2 linked regions of the Neodiprion lecontei genome follow. The main gene of each other region encodes a partner of the protein of the gene in region 2 in a complex. Links are inferred from orthologs where the notes say so. Each region holds a gene or a part of one and is shown on either strand. Other genes may lie near its edges.

What was found. The genes of interacting proteins can lie anywhere in the genome.
Region 1: nuclear cap-binding protein subunit 1 (region 2) and nuclear cap-binding protein subunit 2 share a complex: the UniProt entries of both Caenorhabditis elegans proteins name them as parts of the nuclear cap-binding complex. The link is inferred for Neodiprion lecontei from reciprocal best matches to the Caenorhabditis elegans genes ncbp-1 and ncbp-2.

Annotation. Positions count from the first base shown.
Region 1 is NC_060261.1:34,857,774-34,865,686, reverse strand, and holds nuclear cap-binding protein subunit 2, read right to left. Parts: upstream 3,992-7,913; 5' UTR 3,838-3,991; coding exon 3,769-3,837; intron 3,686-3,768; coding exon 3,365-3,685; intron 3,191-3,364; coding exon 3,086-3,190; 3' UTR 3,040-3,085; exon of another isoform or gene 2,961-3,039; intron 2,765-2,960; exon of another isoform or gene 2,622-2,764; 3' UTR 2,318-2,621; downstream 1-2,317. Other genes in the region: ras-like GTP-binding protein RhoL, read left to right, coding at 1,033-1,162, 1,535-1,649, 1,761-1,878, 2,007-2,209; MICOS complex subunit MIC27, read left to right, coding at 4,932-4,946, 5,068-5,240, 5,516-5,661, 6,618-6,851, 6,935-7,004, 7,111-7,306, 7,384-7,419. UniProt on the Caenorhabditis elegans protein: Component of the cap-binding complex (CBC), which binds co-transcriptionally to the 5' cap of pre-mRNAs and is involved in various processes such as pre-mRNA splicing and RNA-mediated gene silencing (RNAi).
Region 2 is NC_060264.1:26,559,770-26,570,802, reverse strand, and holds nuclear cap-binding protein subunit 1, read right to left. Parts: upstream 7,490-11,033; 5' UTR 7,252-7,489; coding exon 7,212-7,251; intron 6,890-7,211; coding exon 5,926-6,889; intron 5,767-5,925; coding exon 5,595-5,766; intron 5,498-5,594; coding exon 5,292-5,497; intron 5,133-5,291; coding exon 5,029-5,132; intron 4,893-5,028; coding exon 4,657-4,892; intron 4,533-4,656; coding exon 4,354-4,532; intron 4,218-4,353; coding exon 3,962-4,217; exon of another isoform or gene 3,853-3,961; coding exon 3,739-3,852; intron 3,573-3,738; coding exon 3,459-3,572; 3' UTR 2,873-3,458; downstream 1-2,872. Other genes in the region: fructose-1,6-bisphosphatase 1, read left to right, coding at 1,408-1,875, 2,120-2,309, 2,681-2,872; NAD-dependent protein deacetylase Sirt6, read left to right, coding at 7,955-8,020, 8,135-8,262, 8,911-9,029, 9,133-9,256, 9,380-9,553, 9,657-9,780, 9,892-10,494; 40S ribosomal protein S15, read right to left, coding at 11,030-11,033. UniProt on the Caenorhabditis elegans protein: Component of the cap-binding complex (CBC), which binds cotranscriptionally to the 5'-cap of pre-mRNAs and is involved in various processes such as pre-mRNA splicing and RNA-mediated gene silencing (RNAi).

The DNA.
Region 1 (7,913 bases), on a different chromosome or scaffold from region 2:
CAAACTGCATCGCACGGGGAGAAACGCGGCGGTATCGTGCGATAACTTCTTTCTCGTCTGAAAAACAAATACCTACTCAAAGTGGTCACCATCGCGTTTTTCCGCTTATCACGATTGTCCGTCTGCCAATATGCATCGTATGCATCGTATGCACTGCAGGAGATACTTGAACGCACCGACTCCGTAGGTGTAATATTTGCGATTCCACACAGGCGAGCACAAGTGCTTTGCTCCGAGGGCCGCGCGTTCCGAGGGATGGTAATACGTAGGAATTAAGTACAATAAACGAGCCGGAGATAAGAGAGACTATGAGACTATGGCGACTACCGGAGCGCGTGCGAGGACAGGATGCGTAGATTGACAATGAGTGACACGAGCGAGTCTAATGAATTGGTTTTGCGAAGGCGCGCCGAGCGTGAATTCCGAGCTGGAGGAACAAGGAGCTACAACTGTTCCAACTTGCAGGTCGTAAGGCATAGGTTTTTCTTTTTTAACCCTTTGACTGCCGTTGCAGCATATTTGCGACAATGACGAAACAGCTATTTTTTTTAATATTATCTTCAACTTGAATTTAGAAGCCGTAAAATGATTTGAAAAATTGTAACGCACGGTAAAGAAAATTTTCACTGAATAATTTCATTTGAAAAACTTTTTGGTTAAGGATGAAAACAGAAAAATCGTATTTTTAAAAGGTGTAATTTTTCAAATATTTTGATTGAGAAAAATTTCAAGCGGTTGGAAGATATGTTTTTTTTTTAAAGGGGAAAAAGGCTTGGCCGTTAAAGGGTTAAATTGTCAACCGGCCCAAAAAACTGTCGATAAAATGAACGTGCGACGCAGTTGTAGTCAGGATGAATTTAACTCGGTAATCGATTTCCGACCGTTCTTTAAAGAGTTCGTCAAGTGCGAGAATAAAGTTTTACGATCAGAGTGTCAAGTCTTCACTCCGTATCAGCGAATGAACGATAATTAACGAGTTTACGGGTGCACGCGCGTAAATTTTAACACCGGAAATTCTCTTCTTTGTTCCAGAGGACGCGAGTATGGTGTCTCGGATACGACCGATAAAGGTCACCGCGGTTGGTGACGGCATGGTCGGTAAGACGTGCATGCTTATCACATACACGTCCAAGAAATTCCCCACCGAATACGTTCCCACAGTGTAAGCATCAAGAAACATCAAATAAATCGGCCATACTAATTCCCTAATTTCAAATCAAATCGAATCTGTTCTATTACCAAACTTTATACAATTTTTCATAGACTAAAAGACACTCTCTGGTGAATTTCAACCCTTAATTTAAAATTAAAAGTTTTCTATTTCTTTCTGATTCGAATTCATTGCAATGAAAGTTTTAAAAAATAAATAATTTGATATGTAATTCATGTTCATGTCAAGATTTGCGAAAGAAAGGGCTTCAATTCTAGGAACATCTGCAATTCCTTACCGCAATGCTGTGATCACATATTTTTAGTGTAAACAGAAAAGAGATCAGCTATACTTTCAGTTACTTTCAACATTTCTTTCGTCCAGGTTCGACAACTATGCAGACAACATATGCGTAGATGGACAGGAGTTCAATATGGTGCTTTGGGACACAGCCGGTCAAGAGGATTACGAAAGGCTTAGGCCTTTGTCGTACCCGAACGTAGGTTTACAATTTCAATTACGTCTGTAGTTGAAAATTCTATCAAATTTTTAACACTACAAAAATCCCGTATTATATTTTTTGCGAACCAAACTACGATATTCATTTTAGACGGATTGTTTTCTCCTGTGCTTTTCGATAAGTGCGCGCAGTTCGTACGAAAACGTAGCCAGCAAATGGTATCCGGAAATCAAGCACCACTGTCCCAACGTGCCAATTGTCCTTGTCGGTAAGTGTGTAATAAATATTTCAAGTATTCAATATTCCACATTATGCTGCTACGAGTGATGTGTGTTTGCCAACAACTGATCAGACTTTAGATTCCACTTAAAACTATTTATCATATATCTTGGATAGGCACTAAGGGTGACCTGAGGAACAGGGAGGACACGGATGTAATAACACCGGCAGAATGTAAGAAGATGAAGAAGAGAATCAAGGCCTACAAATACGTCGAATGTTCGGCAATAAAGTCAGAGGGACTGGAAGAGGTATTTGTAGAGGGGATTAGATCCGTGCTGAAAAAACCGGCACCGCGGAGACTGTGCGGTATTCTTTGAAACGGAATACAAGCACAATCGTATACATCACATATATTCACGCGGTACTTTGAAAATTGTTGATGTTACGGGGCTACCCGTCAATAAGAAACGATAAGATTATTGTTATTAATTTTAGCATTACTATTATTATTATTATTTTAACCGGTGCCTACCATTAATAACATTAATATTATGATTGGACAAGTTATATCGCCGAAGCTTCATTTCTGATACTAAAAGACGCGAAAAGAACGAATTATAACCAAAGAATCCCTCTCGAGTCCTGCCGTGTACATACATATATATATATACAGTATTGTTCAGAGTATAAGCGGTCCCCGAATTCTGCGACAGTATTTCAGGATGTTTTTCTTGATTACACGCACAGAAGACTGGTCCGCGTATTAGACGACGACGATTTTGGCGGCTGCTGTCAACGACAAAAAAACCTCGGCTTATATCCAGAACAATACGATATGCATATATAATTGTAATGTATAATGTGCGAATATACGTGTGTCTTTTCTGTACAAAATATAATAATTAATAAAAAAAAAAATCTTCAACTGTCAACCAAAGTTGTATCGCGCGTGTACGTTATACATATTAAATATAATATCCGTAGGAATAAAGTTTTTTTACGTGCATATTGTGGGTGTGAAAACCTTTCTTCCATTTGTCACGAAACATGAATCATTTAATGACTTACACAAATATAAATAAATGAAATAAGGAGAACCAGATAGAATAACTCTTTCGCACACGAAAGTTCTTTGTCACCCCAAATCTTTGTATATTCATCACAATATGCCTGTAGTTGTCAATGAATAGAATTAAACAATACGCACATCACCGATCATGATCAAATGTGATTGTCATCCATAAGTGTGTACTTCATCGACCAAATGCCCCATCCACAACGGGTGTTACTTTTTGTTGGATTATTTTTCCATAGCCACCTCTGCCACCGTCAAAGTCGGATCTGTACTCGTCTCTGACCTGGTAATTAGATGAAAATTATCAATCATTATAGTAACTCACGCAACATGTTAAAGTATCAACTTGAATCTTAAAATCAATTCAAACTATTAGATAAGTTTCCTGACTGGCAGAATTAGTCGGTGCCCCGTATTCAAGTTCCCCGATATTCAGGTATAGAATAAAGTATCTTACCTGACCACCTGTCTTTCCTCGACCATACTGTCTGCCTTCGATGAACCCAGCGTCCCAATCCGTACGTATAATTCTATCGTCTAAACGGGTCCCATTAACATATCGCATACAGTTTTCCGCATCGGGTCTCAAATAGTACTCGACGAAGCAAAATCCACATGGAGTTTTTTTGTACTTATCCAGTCCCATAATAATTCGTCTAATGTCTCCGCACTTTGAAAATAGTTCATATATCTGCTCCTCTGTAGTGTAAAACGAGAGATTACCAATGTACAGAGTCGTCGAGTTCCTTAATAATCGGTCCTGTTCAACTCGAGATCCCTAAAGGAGGAGTAATAATGTTTTTTAACACGTCGAATGTTATTGAACAGGTTATGTTAGCGTAGAGTGATCGAAGTACGAACCTTAAAGTGCTGGTCACGATAAGAGCTGAGGTCAACCGACGGTGAAATTGGACTGGTCGATAGTGCCATCGCTTTATCCTCGTACCGTGAATTTGGTAATCAACTTTTGTAGTATCCCAATGTGTTTATTCGACCAGAAAAGTCAAATGCGCCGTCAAACTCCGACATACGTGCGTTTATGGCGTTTACGCTGCGTTCCGACGTTTTGCTCGATAGGAACGCGGACGGTGGACCGCGAGCCGAGCGGAAAGCTGGAAACGGACTGCGACGAACCCGCCATATTTGAACGACCCAACCCGAAATTCAACCTGAAAACGCAACAAATCCAAATGGTAAATTATTAGTTTGATATGTAAGACGTGAGCGAAAGATTAAGAACCAATATAACGGAGGATGAAGGACATTGTGCACAGTATTTTGGAAAAAACGGTTGGCAATATTTTTGGTAAAGACATAACTTGTCGAGAGCCGGTCGATCGTTGCGACGACTACCAACCAGGAACTTTGGTCGAATTTGGCCGAACCGGCGTTAAAGTACGTATCTTTATCACGTCATTTTTAAGACCCATTTCAGCGATGCTGTGCGCATGGATCGTCCATGAGTTCAATGTCGGTATTGAGGAAAAGATAAGATAATTCTTCAAGATGCAGGACGATGTATAACGGGTATGCAATAGTTGTACAAGCGCACAACATGTGGCTAATAATTGACGGAAAGAGACGACGTAAAAGAAAAGGAATAACGAACAAGTCGAGAGTTGTAAAAACAAGGTCAATTGTTTTTTCCATCTTCACTTGCATGCGTGATTGACACTGCGAAGAGGGAAAATGTTTTTACCGTTAATTATACACACATAGCGTTAATAGCATCGAAAAACATCCGTTTCAAATTCTCGTTACCTCGCATATTCGCATTTCACAACCGTTGGTATCGTGCATATCCGAATCGCAGCTTGTTGTGAAATTTTTTCCCAACATCACGCGGACATTAAATTTAAACAATCGGGTCCGCGTTCCGCCCGTTCCGCTCGTTCCGGTCAAGAATATTCTTCGTCGATTACGTCACGTGAATGTCTGCTGGTACAGCTGACTGACCAGTGACACTCTTGATAGGTTATCCGACCTTTCGGTATAAGTAGAAGAGAAATAATCCGTCGACCAACATGCACGGAATCAAGGTAAATATTGCGTGACGGAGTAGAAAGACATTTAATTTCAAATTTTGATATCAATTTTATCAGTACTCCGATTTCCAATTCTATTTTAAATTCATATTTTTAACAATTGTTGTTACTTAAGTTTTTCAAGAAATTCCTGATGCCTTGTGGGCTGTGCGCAGCGACACCGATCGTCAAGCCGGCCCCTCCTCCGTCAAATTGTCCAACGCCTTGCGAACTAGACGAAAAGAAGTTGATTCGCCCCTCCGAGTTGCCGATATATACGCTTGGCTCACCGTCAAAAGTGGACCAATGGTAAAGCAAGTAATTGATCAACGCTCAGAATTGTTTTCAGTCAAGCCTGCAATTGATGCTTGGATATCTGACTCGACGTCCCTCAGAGCAAACGAACCCAGTAAGGCATCCTTTCGATCGCGTCCCCCTTTATCCCGCACTTCATAACATTGGTTCAGCCATAAAATGTGTGAATTATTTCAGCACAAGTATCAGCAGTATTAGACATAATTTTTCTTAGGTTGCTTACATTATCGAGAGTCATGATGTTCTAAACTAGACATGCATTGTTTCAGCCCCACACCTGTCAATTGTGAGCCGTCGTACTTGGAACAGGGTTTTGGCACGATCAGGAAGTCCTTGTCTGGTGTTTTCACGCAGTATCAACATATTACCGAATCTATTACAGACAAAATAGATACAGGAGTTGCACACAGTGAATGTAAGTCGATGTACTTATTCGTATCACTGTAAACAACGGAAATTCAAATTTGAAGCAGAACATCACTGCCGTAGGTCCTTAGCATCTGCTAGACTCGCAATCAAACGTTATTTGTTCATATTCCAGCTACTCCAATTTGTAAGAAAATAAATGACGAAGAAAAAATTTTCCATATGATACCCGTCGTGTCTGGTTAATAAGGACTTTTATAATGGATCCAGACAAAGTTCGACATGTACAGTATAAAAAAATGTTGCTCAAAGATGCAAGGAGCATACCAGGTTCGACCCATGATGAATTGCACGAAACAATTTTTCCTTCGATCCGATTCTTATGACAATTTTTCCCCCATCTTCTCAAATATTTCTAAATATACATTCAGTAAACAAATTTATGTAGCTATAAGATGTTTGCTGAAAATTAAGGTAATTCTAGTTGAGAATTCCACTTTGCAACAGAGGATCATGGAAAAATCTTGAAATAAGATTTAGTTGGGAATATCTATTTTAAAATGATTTACATCAAATATGTCTGCTATGATTATTATCTGGATTTGGTAACTGACTTCGCTGTAAAGAATAACGAGAAATTGCTTTTGAAATCCTGTCGTATGGAGAACTCAGCCATCCTGTAGAGAGAGTTCAAAACACCCATTTCAAAGGATAGATTTCTCACTTACGCAATGTTTTCCACAATCAAGTCACAATTACCTTTCAAGAATTTGTAAAACAGTTAGACGCGAATATAAATTTGGTTTCAAAAATAAATACATGGATAGCGGAGGTGTCTAGTTATAAAATATTGCAAAATGCTGTGCAAAATCAAAATTTAATTTTTCAGCAAACTATTGTATTCTCCGTTGACTTTTACTGCAAGGTTTAAAAAATTATTACACATGAACAGAAACGGTCGTGTAACAAAACTCTCATCTTCATAACAATTCGTCTTTTCTACAGCCCTCTACGAGTACCTGAAGGAGGAGAGCAATGTTTTGCCACGAATGGGAGCGATCGGGATCGGAGCTCTTTCTGGTCTAATACTGAGCCTCCGAGGCGGTGCGTTCAAGAAAACGTTGTACACAACCACGGGTGGTCTGCTCGTGGCCTCGCTCTGTTACCCAAAACAAGCCGCAGAAGGGGTTGATCTTGCCAAACATTACGCAAACATAGGTTACAACTTTGCTTACGGAAGTGAGTATATACCGGCATACAGTTTAAAAGTTTTCCGAATATCTTTGACAATTCCTATCCTCTTGACTTCCTCGATAAACTAGATACGGAAGATCCCCTGGATAAGGAGCCAGAAAGTTGCAACGTTACTAGCACACAAAGAAACATGCAAAAGTAAAAAGCAACATTAGCGACACAATGAAACCACCAGGTCCCTATCCTACCCCAAAATTCCAAATCCCAGGAGTCATAAGCTATATCGGAAATGTTCAAAATACAGAAAGAAAAGGAAGAAATTTTCAGTTAAACCGGGAGATGAGCAGTTGGAGATCCAATTTCCAGAACTTCCTAAGCTGAAGATACCGACGTCGCTTAACGGGCTCTTTGATCAGGTAGTAGAGACGGGAGCAGTGGCAGGAGAGACCATCGGCAACCTAGCCAGCAAAGCGTCGGAATACTTGTCGGAATCTAAAGAGGTAAATCGAAGCACCGACATTCCTATAAATCTACCAATAATGAAGGTATAAATGCATCGTTGTATCGTTTTTCGCAGGCAAAATCGTCCGAGGATAAGCCAAAGCAGAGTTAGTGCGAGAAACACGCTTACTGGATGTAATTCAAACGTGTGTCCGTGAGAGAGAGACACACATTACGCGGACCCTGACCACGGATCGCCGATAACAAATGTACATTTGAACTCTAGTGAAGATATAAAGAAATGATAAGCATACGTATATATAAATGTGAGTTCTCGCATTTGTTCTTCCCGCTGCCGTCTACTGTTATTCTTATTGTTCTTCTTCTCGTACTTTGGTTTTCATTCCACGGTGTGATGGTTATCAGATTTCTGCTATCTGCTCGCTCGTGCTAATGAATAAACTCCCCCACGTACCAAAAACAAACAAACAATTGACGGCGGGCAGATTTCATTCCGTGTTCCAAAGCCCCCCGTGAGATGGCGCCAGTTGTTTGTGTTTTTTAGAGACGCCGGGCAAGGTGGCATGTAGGCATACAATTATACATACATGTGTACGTATACAAGGTGCGGGAACGATCGATGATGAGAGAATCGCGGGTACGTAT
Region 2 (11,033 bases):
CTTCTCTATTCCCGATTTCTATAATAGCTCAAACGGTCCTTCGATTTACAGAACTTGATAATTAACGTGTTAAATTAACAATCGTGTTAGAAGTAAAACAACCTGCATGTGTACAAGATACGCCGTCGGAGATTATTAAAAAAAAAAACGGAAAAAATTGAAACTAACGATAAGCACAGAGAACTCTATTACATATTGCTTAATTTTTAATTTCGTTTTATCTTAAAATTGGACTATCGAAATTGGAAATTTCTCAATCACACACATCTGTATGTTCGTAAACACTTATTAATAGCTGTAAACAAGCATGTTTACTGTTCGAACGACCAAAGTTTACTCAAGACAGATAAAACCGTTCATTAAAAACGCGGTATGTGATGTGTATGTATGTACACATTCCTAATTCGATTCCTATCGTTAGTAAATGCTACGAAATCCGGTTAATTCACCGAGCTGCCTGAGTCACAGTTACGTACTGTAGACCAATAGAACCGAAATATTGGTTTTTTCAACGGCAAAGATTCCGCTTTCTCTTACTTCAAAGTTATAAAAATAAGATGAGTCAGGGAATGTTGATAACACTAATATAACGTGCGTAGTTGAAATCCCCGCTTAATGTGCCTGGGGTCAAATTAGTTTATCACTTATCAGTTACACATAGATTACACCTCAAAATAGAATATGTGTACATGTAAGAAAAGCAGAAGTGAACATAGCTATAGCCAATTGAACTATGCTGTAGCTGAAAGAAATAAAAGCTTTGAATGAATTTTTTTTATATCCAAAATTAAAATGATTAATTTCAATTTCATGTAACATTCGTAATTATCTCTTTCAATGAAAAAGAAAAAGTACGACGTGATTATCGATTTGAGGCATCCGTTGAGGTTTTTCCGGTTTATACACATATGAAAATAGAACAGCTTCGTTTATTCAAAGTTCAGAAAATATAAAATCCTCTTTGATGAATGAATTGTTCAAAAACAATCACAAAATGCTGAATTTTTATGAACTTGTGATTGACAATATGTGAATAAATTATGGGATAAAAATTTGTATACAAAAGTTCATTTACGATCACACCCGAACGATTTATCTGTTAGAAAGTGTTTTCATTTCATTTCAATATAGTTTTCATTACTAAAGACGCGAAGAACTCATGCATTTATTTCAAATGGAAAATACCCACACGGTGTGAAGCATTTCTTGCACTTGACCTGAAAATTTTTACATGACAGGAAGATGTGTTTATTTTATTTTTTTTTAAAAACTAATGTTTAAACCTTGGTACAGGCAAAATAATAATATCTTCAATAGTCTAATATGCATATTAAATAACGATATGATAATTTTACACATTGAAGTAGCTAGTTGTACATATGTACATGTAATTTACTTGGTTCAAAGGTACGGTATTGCTGGGTGCACGAACGTTCAGGGTGAAGAAGTCAAAAAATTAGATGTCCTCAGCAATGAACTCTTTATAAACATGCTGACATCTTCATTTACGACCTGTCTCCTAATCAGTGAAGAAAATGAAACTGTGATCGAAGTAGAAGTTGGCAAACAGGGGAAATACATCGTCTGCTTTGATCCTTTGGACGGCTCGTCAAACATTGATTGCCTAATATCCATTGGCTCAATATTTGGAATCTACAAAAAACAAGAAGGCTCAACCGGAGCACCGACAGTTGCTGATGCTCTACAGCCAGGTCGTAATCTGGTAGCAGCGGGATATGCGTTGTATGGTTCGGCAACTATGTTGGTACTCTCAATTGGTCAGGGTGTCAATGGCTTTATGTACGATCCAGCTATTGGCGAATTTATATTAACAGATCAGGACATGAGAATACCGTCAAGAGGAAAAATTTACAGGTATTCTAAAATATGCGCACAAGAACAGAACAACAAAGTCAATACTCATAAACCTGACATAAATCAAATTTTATTTGAATTGAACCTAAAGTGTACCTTGCAACAAGTAAATTATATATCGAATTGATACGTAAATAAAATGATACCTACTTTATACAAGTACTTTTATGGATGGGCTTAACGTATCACGTGAAATCGAGTTAGTTTAAATGGCGAACAATAATTTATTGTTTTTATGCTGCAGCATAAATGAAGCTCACGAAAGTAAGTGGTCATCGGCGATAAAGGATTATGTCCATTCAAAAAAATACCCAGCAACTGGCAAGCCGTACAATGCCAGATACGTGGGTTCAATGGTAGCTGATGTACACAGGACACTCAAATACGGTGGGATATTTATGTACCCAGCAACAACAGAGAGCCCAAAGGGAAAGGTATTATTCAATTTAAATAACAGAGCCTACCTGTGCACAATTCTATAAATTTCGCCTAACTGATACACGCACTTTCTGACCAGTGCATACAATTATCGTGGTACATGTTTGGTAACACGAAATTCGCAAGAATGCACAATCAAAATATGGCTACAGCGATTCTGGGATTATGATTAGTTTTGAGGCATGTTTTACCGAAGCAATATCCATTGACAATTTGGTCTAATATTAAACTGATACTGAACAGCTGGTGTAGAAGTTATCTTAGGTTAGAAGTTCACTGAATAACTAAACTACTTTTCCCAAACAAATGTGAAAAACAGCATTACACAATGTGTAAATAAAATGTATGATTTTGATTTTGTTGCTAGCTTCGTCTCCTCTATGAGTGCATACCCATGGCATACATTTTAACGCAAGCTGGTGGCCTTGCGACAAATGGTGAAATGAGCATACTGGACATTATACCATCTACTATTCATCAAAGGAGCCCAATATTTTTGGGGTCAAAGGATGACGTTGAAGAAATTTTGACTCACATGACACGTCAGAAAACTCAGTAGATTGATATACATACATACTCGTGAGTATATCTCCAAACTGTAACATTATGACACTTGTGAATCCCTATGATAATATCGTTACATACGGTCCATTCATATCTGCAGTGAAATTCTGTCATATTATCGCCCAGGTGATGCAATTTGAAACAGGTAAACTGTTCAAGCATTCAATTTTTAATTGGATTAAAATAAAGTCTTTCTCTTCCTCTACATTTGCTTGCATGAGTCGGTAATAGATAATTTTGATTCAATATTATTCAGGTGTATAGGTTTCTGTATATACACCCATGTACATTGCCAGCAAACTGCTGACTTTCATTAGCATACAACACTATAGGTAGAACTGAATATTCTGCTACCGATTGAAAAAATTCCAACAACAATTTAGACTTGATGTACATTAACATAAATACGGATAATCAAATGTCATTTAAATATACTCGGAAACTCTATTTACCTAATATTCACGACTGAAATTGTCCTAAGAGTTATCAATAAAATAATATAACTGTATATGTATAATATATGTATATATCATACTTCATACCAATCCCTTGAAGACGAAACGTTCAGTGATTTGAACATCTTATGCACGTAACGAAACAAACTGGTGAAATACGTCAAGAATGTGTGGATCCAGATCTGGCGTGAACAAAAGTGTTTCCAGTGTTGACGAGTATTTTTGTACTTGTTCGTGATGCTAAAAAAAGAAGTAAAATTTCTCTTTTAACTTGTAGTGAATTAATCATAACACTTGCGAACTGATTAACAGCTTTCTATAATGCATTACACTCTTCTAAGCGATCAGTTTGGTAGTCCAAGAAAGCCACTAAAGAAGCGTTGAGGGTTTTTTTTTTTTTACTTACAGCCAAAAATACCTGCTGCAACCTTCCAATAGTCCATCTGTACCAGTGAGTATTGTAATCGATGCCATCTGTATCACATCTAACAAGATGTTCGGAAAGAATCATAATAAAACGCTGTAAAAGAATAAAAAAGCAATTATCAAGTGTTTTGAATAAGTGCCATCTCACAGCTTACATAACATGTTCAACCGAGATTGCAAGTATGTAATATTAATAATTATACCTGAAAAATGATGAGGAATAAATTCTTTTGATCTGCTTGAGCAGCTTCCAATTTTTCTTCCATTCGCTCTACAACGTCTTCAGATGGTCTTTCTCCCGACTTATCTTTAGTATTGTCCTCATCTTCCGAAGACGATCCAGATCTACTTTCCGCCCTTCGTAACTTTTCTCTGGCCTCCGTCACTTCTGTGTTCAGTTTAATGACATGTTTATTCTTTTTACGGATCGTCAAATGAAGAATTTCCCAGATGTAGAGTCTGAAAATAATGGGGTTGCGATATTTAGCTTGGTTAAAATTAGTACCAAGTTCTAAGAGTCATATTCTATTTTCGATTATTAATTAAATTCTAAGATAAAAGTTTGTAGAATTGGTTCAAAATTACATTGACTCACTTAGTAAATTCAGATGTCATTTCCCGAGAAAATATCCAATTGGCTATAGCACTGCATTCAATTATTCCAGTCTTTAAGAATTTGTCTGAGAGTACAACCATCATTTGATAATGATTTTTCCATAGGGCATGCATATTTCTTAGAATGCATATTTGTGCCTCCTCTGATTCGGCCAGAGCCTATGAAAAACAAGCAAAAGTCTGCAGTTAGGTTCAATGCCACAAAATTTTGTCAAACTATTTAACATAGGTATGAAATGATATAGTTCAATATAATGATTTTATAAGAGAAAACTATTCTTACCTTGAATACATAATGAAACTTCCCAATAGCGGCGAAACTGTGGCTGAAGCTCTTTGACCCCAGGTTAAGCAACGTCTGTACAAATACGTCAATTTTCAACGGATTGAATGTGTTTGATTCCTCATTGTCTCCTTGACCTGGTAAGGTATTCAAAACGGTCAATACTTCTTCAGGGGTGCATTTGCGGCGTATTGAAACAACTAGTTCATGGGCTGCAGAAGTTCCAGGAAGTGTGCCTGAAAAAAATTGAGCAAAGTCGATTGCTAGAAAGATTTATTCAAGAAAAGATGACATTCTAATATAATGTAAAATTTATGATAATGAAATGATACTGTGATGAGATATCAAATATCAGAGTGTAAAAATACTGACTTGCGCCTTCGGAAGTGTACTTGTAAATTGGTTCTGGAGGCAAAGGGATCAGTTCGGCGTAAGTTTCTGGCATCATATCGCGAATTCTTTGGAAGTAGGATAGTCTGTAACAAAAAGTATTTTTTGATACATTGATGCATGGTAATTATCAAAATATCTCTGATTTTTCAATCTTTGATCCAACAAAAAATGGTTTGTATATTTTGTTTAAAGGATAAGCTGGAACTTTCATCTTGTAGAAATGAGGAAAAATCATTTCTTACCTCAATGCTTTCAGCAGCACTTCTTTTATGAATTTAGGCCGAGGATGTTCAGGGTCACGCTGGAGGCATGAGTCCCAATCTTCCCATGACCAACGAAATTGGAAGTTGCTCAGATGATAGGCAAACCACCAAACAAATCTATCGAATGCTGCCGCAGCCATGCTGTCGATGCGACGGAATAAAATTTCGGTAGCCTGTGCTAAAACCTTTATAATACAGTGCAGGGTGTATAAGATACTATAACACAGCGAAATTTATTATCGTTACCAGTTAAACTCATTGGGAATTTATCATTTATATTACCTGTGGCATAGTCGATGGTTGCAACTTACAAAGTTCAATCAAAATCGATCCATAGCAGATTTCCAAATGTTTTGGAGATGGTAATCTGAAGAGTTCTCCAAACATTACTTCCACAATAGAATAATCAAGTGGAATTTTTGCTTTGTATGGAAAGTTCAATAATTGCGCCGCGCTGTAAATCAGAATAAAAATAGCTTCATTGAAAATAGGTATTACTGGTTTTGAAGTGAAATCATATAACAAAGTATTACCAGCAAAAATCGAAAATGATTACAATGTAAGTAAAAAAGAAGTAATTAAGAAAACGAGAATAACAGAAGATGAAACTTACCAATCTTTTCTTTCAAAAAAGTGATTATCAATAATTTGCCGAAGATGTTCTTCGATAAGAAATCTCTCTATAGCATGACTGCCAGGCAGCAGTGGCCCTTCCGCTGGACAGTCAGTATAGTCAAACATGCGAAATACAACAGTTGGTATTGGGTACGTGTAAGATTCATGGTGTGGTGGAGGCAGAAGCGTTGGAAGATTGTGTTGTAGAGCTTCACATAAAATAGAGTCGAAAGCAAGATATGGTCGAGGAATGTGTTTTTCCGCCCAATTATCCTGCCTCAATTTTCGTACTTGAGCCCAGAGACAGTCCAAATATTCTTCCTGAGGGTGAGGTGTGTCACTGGACCATACTTTTAGAGCAGGTTGATGTTTCTTACTTCGTTTGTTCAAAAATACTTCAATGGTGACCATAAGGTGATCCAGTTCTTGCTCTTTCTTTTCATATAACTCTCGACCAACCCACGGCAGGGTTGAGAGAACAGCAAAAACGTACCAGTCTCGTCTAACTTGAGGTACGCTGTCCTCATTTGCCGTGTCTAACATATTATCAAAGAGCTGCATAAGCGACCCGCAAGATAAAACGTGACAGTTGACTAAGTCAGCAAGAAACCGGAGCGAATATCTAGCAGCGTTCCATTTGCAACTTTTTAAAGAATCTTTAAAATTTTTCACCATATAGTCAACAAATTCACCACCAAAGTTGAAATTCTTTGCATTCAGCAGCCCCACCAGCGTCGTGTAGATCGTACATTTCTCTGGCATTTTTATAGCGCAATCAGTCAATATTCGGAGAATCTTAGTACGAAACACACCGAGATCCGCTTCTAGCACAGACGCTAACCCTTCCAAATTACTTTCTAATGACGAAGTTGACTTTTCACCCACTCGCAATATAAGCGATTCCAGGCGATCTTCAATTTCCTGATTCTCTGATACCCTCCTCCGCTTCTTATAGACGCGGTCTGCAAATTGAAGTTCATCATAGCATACGACCATCTACTCTGAGATTCGTCTTCAATGTCATTAGATTAATTGAAAACAAAAATGTGGAGTAAGAAGAATTTCTCACAAATACGTATGTACATACATATGCGACTAATAAGCATCAGGTACAATGATTGGGCCAAAAATAAGGTTAGATTAAATAAGGTTAGGTTCAATGAATTCGACTAGCGTTGATACTTAAAAATTCAATATAAATCGGGGTAGTTTGAAATGGCTGCGAGCGGTGCGATACTCTAACATATGGTGAGATGAGAGCATGTTTTCTATCAGTAATCATACCGTATCCATCGTCATCGTCATGTGCTCTCCTGCGACTCATAGTTTCGGTGCAGGATTACAACGGAACCAACAACAAACGTAGAACACGGAACAGGTTGCCACGGTCCGTTATTAACCTTGGATAAACTGAAGCCCCGAAATTTCTAAAACGTAACTTAATCCAGAGAATACGATCTCTCCTGTATAAAATGGATCTTCGCCAACGACAATCCGTTGTAAGTCATTTGATGCTGGGTGTCAAAAAGTTGCAATCGGAGCGTCGAACGTTCGTTCAAATTAGTTCCACGACGGACTTTTAGGTGGCAGAAGAGTCCGCGACGACGTTGGACGACGCCGAGCGTCGCTCCAACGCGCAACCTGCTTTGCGCAAAGAGTAGTTTTATGATCTTTTCTGGTGTTCGTTGTGGATATTTGGTGGTGTCCCGTGGATTCCAAATAGTGAATAAACCTGAGTTAGATTTATTTCTGAAAATTTTCATCGACATTTTGTCGTTTACCGGTGTCTCATCAGTAATCGTAAAGTTCCCGGCAAATCATAATCATAATTTTAAAATTGTTTATATTAAATTTCATCACCGAAGGTCGGCGGAAACGCACGAACCCGAGCATTTAAACGTGGATTTTTGATAATAATTACGTCATCATCGACGGGGGTAGGGGGCGGATTATTATTTGGCAACAAGGGTTGTTGCTCTGCGGCCATTGTTAGCCGCTCGGCGGAAGGGCGTGAGGGGAGAGGGACGATGTCATGCAGCTACGCCGATGGTTTATCGCCGTACGAGAACAAGGGTCAGCTTGGCCTCGAGGAGGTAATTTTCGCCGTTATGTACGGTCCGAAGTTGGCTTGGCGATATCGCCATTGGGCAGTAATTGCTGATCCTCCAGGCGAATCAATAACCCAATGCCACTCTCCTCCTTTTTAGAAATTCGACAGCGCCGAGACTCTTCGTATCAAATGCGATTTGTTGGCTGATTGGATAGACGGGGCACGTCATGTTGTCGTTCACACCGGCGCGGGAATCAGTACCGCTGCCGGTATTCCCGATTTTAGGTAATTCATTCATTCGAGGACGCTCGTTAGTAATTGTAATTAGGGTACTTCGGCGTCATGACATTACGTGCCAACGTCAGCTCTAGTAGATTGCAATCACGAGATGATTTGCGGATAATTTCATCGAAAATAACACTCTCTTCGTACAGTATAGATTCATAAAAGAGTTTTGCGATACCGTGACAGCTATGACAAGCGGGAATATTTGTGCCATGAATTTTTGAATTTAGATCATCTCGAATTTTTTCCTCCAACTTCGTTTCTAATTCATTCGTTTTATTCTATTAGATATATCCGATTTGTGCTTTTTCAAATTAATTTCGAATAATTCACAGAGAGATTGATAGGGTAATTCAGATTTGTTGCTAATTTTCTGAATTAAATGGACATGTCGTCTACTGCAAAATTTATTGATATTACGCACATTGTATACATGAGACGATTATTCTATATGTCAAGTTATTGTTATATTTAGAACATGAATTGATGTATCAATTCAGCACAATATTTTTATGTTACTGTCTTTTCAAACTTGGATAATCCTGTGTACCAAAATCGCCTAATAATATACTTCCAGTTCAAATGAATGCAAAAAATACGTCACTTCTCAAACGTAACAACCTTAATGTTATATGTTTCCATCCATAGAGGACCGAAGGGTGTCTGGACTTTGGAGGAGAAAGGGTTGAAACCTGAAATGAATATATCATTTGACGAAGCAAAGCCAACCAAGACTCACATGGCTTTAAAGAAGTTGATTGATTGCAGTAAGGGTGTACCTAGCATAAGACTGTGGAAAATTAATTAACAAATTAGGAAAACAATATGAAATGTTGAATCTGATCCTAATCGGATTTTGTTGCTCCACAGATAAGGTCAAATTCATTGTGAGCCAAAATATTGACGGACTGCACCTGCGATCTGGAGTTCAGCGGCAGAAGCTTGCAGAGTTGCATGGAAATATGTTCACTGAACAGTGTGACAAGTGTGGAAGGTACAAGTTTGTTTACACTGTAAGAATTGATATGCTTAATTAGAGGTGTGATTCGAGTGTAAAACAATATTCGTACCCTAAATTATCGCGAGATCATAACGCACTTCCTGATTTGGTTCACAGACAATTTATTCGCAACCTTGCTACAAAGAGTGTTGGGAAAAAATGTTTGGGAACGGTATGTCGATCTGAACAAATTGGAGGACGACCTTGTCGAGGTCGAATGCATGACACGATACTTGACTGGGAGCATAACTTACCTGACAATGACTTAGCACTGTCAGACCTTCATGCCAGGTCAGTTTGTATTCCATTGTTATAACTTTTTTAACCACGTTTTGATTTCTGGCACTTCAGAAGAAAAATATAAATCAAATTGTCAACAATTTTTCAATTACAGTGTTGCCGATTTGAGCATTTGTCTGGGAACAACTTTACAAATCATACCAAGTGGGAACTTGCCTCTTTATACAAAGAAGTATGGTGGCAGACTTGTTATTTGCAATCTGCAGCCAACGAAGCATGTAAGGATGCTTTTCAAGTAGACTTCATTAATTTTATTTCAACCGTAACCTCAGTCTTGTCTCTTAATACAATTATCAACTAAATGTTTTGACGGACGATCATTATTTTAGGATAAAAAAGCAGATTTGGTGATAAACGGTATGGTCGATGACATCATAGTGATGGTAATGAAGAAATTAGGTCTGGAATTACCAGAGTACGACAGCAAATTAGATCCAACAAGAAACACAGACATGACATCCAATCAGATGGATTGGACAATACCGACAGCACGTGTCAAAGAGATGAAAATATTGTACAAAAAAGTTTGTAAGCCAACGCAGCGAAAGCGAAAGACCTTCATGTATGAACGAGAAAAGGAAGAATTTCCGAAAAAGTTGAGCAAAGAAAAAATACCTGCAACCGATGATAGAATGTTAAAGACAGAAAATGTAGACCATATATTGGACGGTAAGTCTGTGATGAGAAACACTGAAATCATAGAGATGGATAAGGTGAAACAAGAAGATGTCGATACGGAACTTCAAGTCAAACAAGAAATATTTGAGAAAACTAGTCAGAATTCCGTAATATTGGCTGATGACGGTACATGTGCCTCAGATAGGAAATTTTTCTTTAAAGGTAAATCAGATGACAATGTTGCATTTAATAGTCCAAGTGTGTCAGACAACAATCCAAGTTCATGTAGCAATAATAAAGCTTCTGTGATTTAATATTTTACCTCAAACTAATATTCTCAACAAATGTTTACTCTGCAACAAAACTATTAATGTTATAAAATGTGTGTGTATATTAGACCGTGTAACATTGTTCTCCCGTTTTTTCAAAGACAGCATCATCAAGTTCTAATTATTATGAAATTATTATCATATAGAATTGTTGTGTACGTGACGAATAAAGCTTCCTATTTTTATACCCGAATTGACTTGCTTTTGATATTTCTTGTCAAGTGGTAATTAATTATTCATGCATTCATAAAGATTGAGTACGTACTGTATTTTAAAATAGAGCACAGATACAGAGAATCTCTACTGAAAGGGCAAACTCCGAGCCACGCGTAGCAGACAAATGTTGGGAAAGAAAACTTGTGCACATGACTCGAAATCAGTCAATTCTCTAGAAATCTGCTGGATATGATTTTTCAAGTAATTAGAGAGGAAATATCTGATTGGTAATGGAGTGAATCATTATAAAACGATGGATCAGAAAATGGAATTTTACGCCGTTTATTTATTACATACAAGCAATTTAC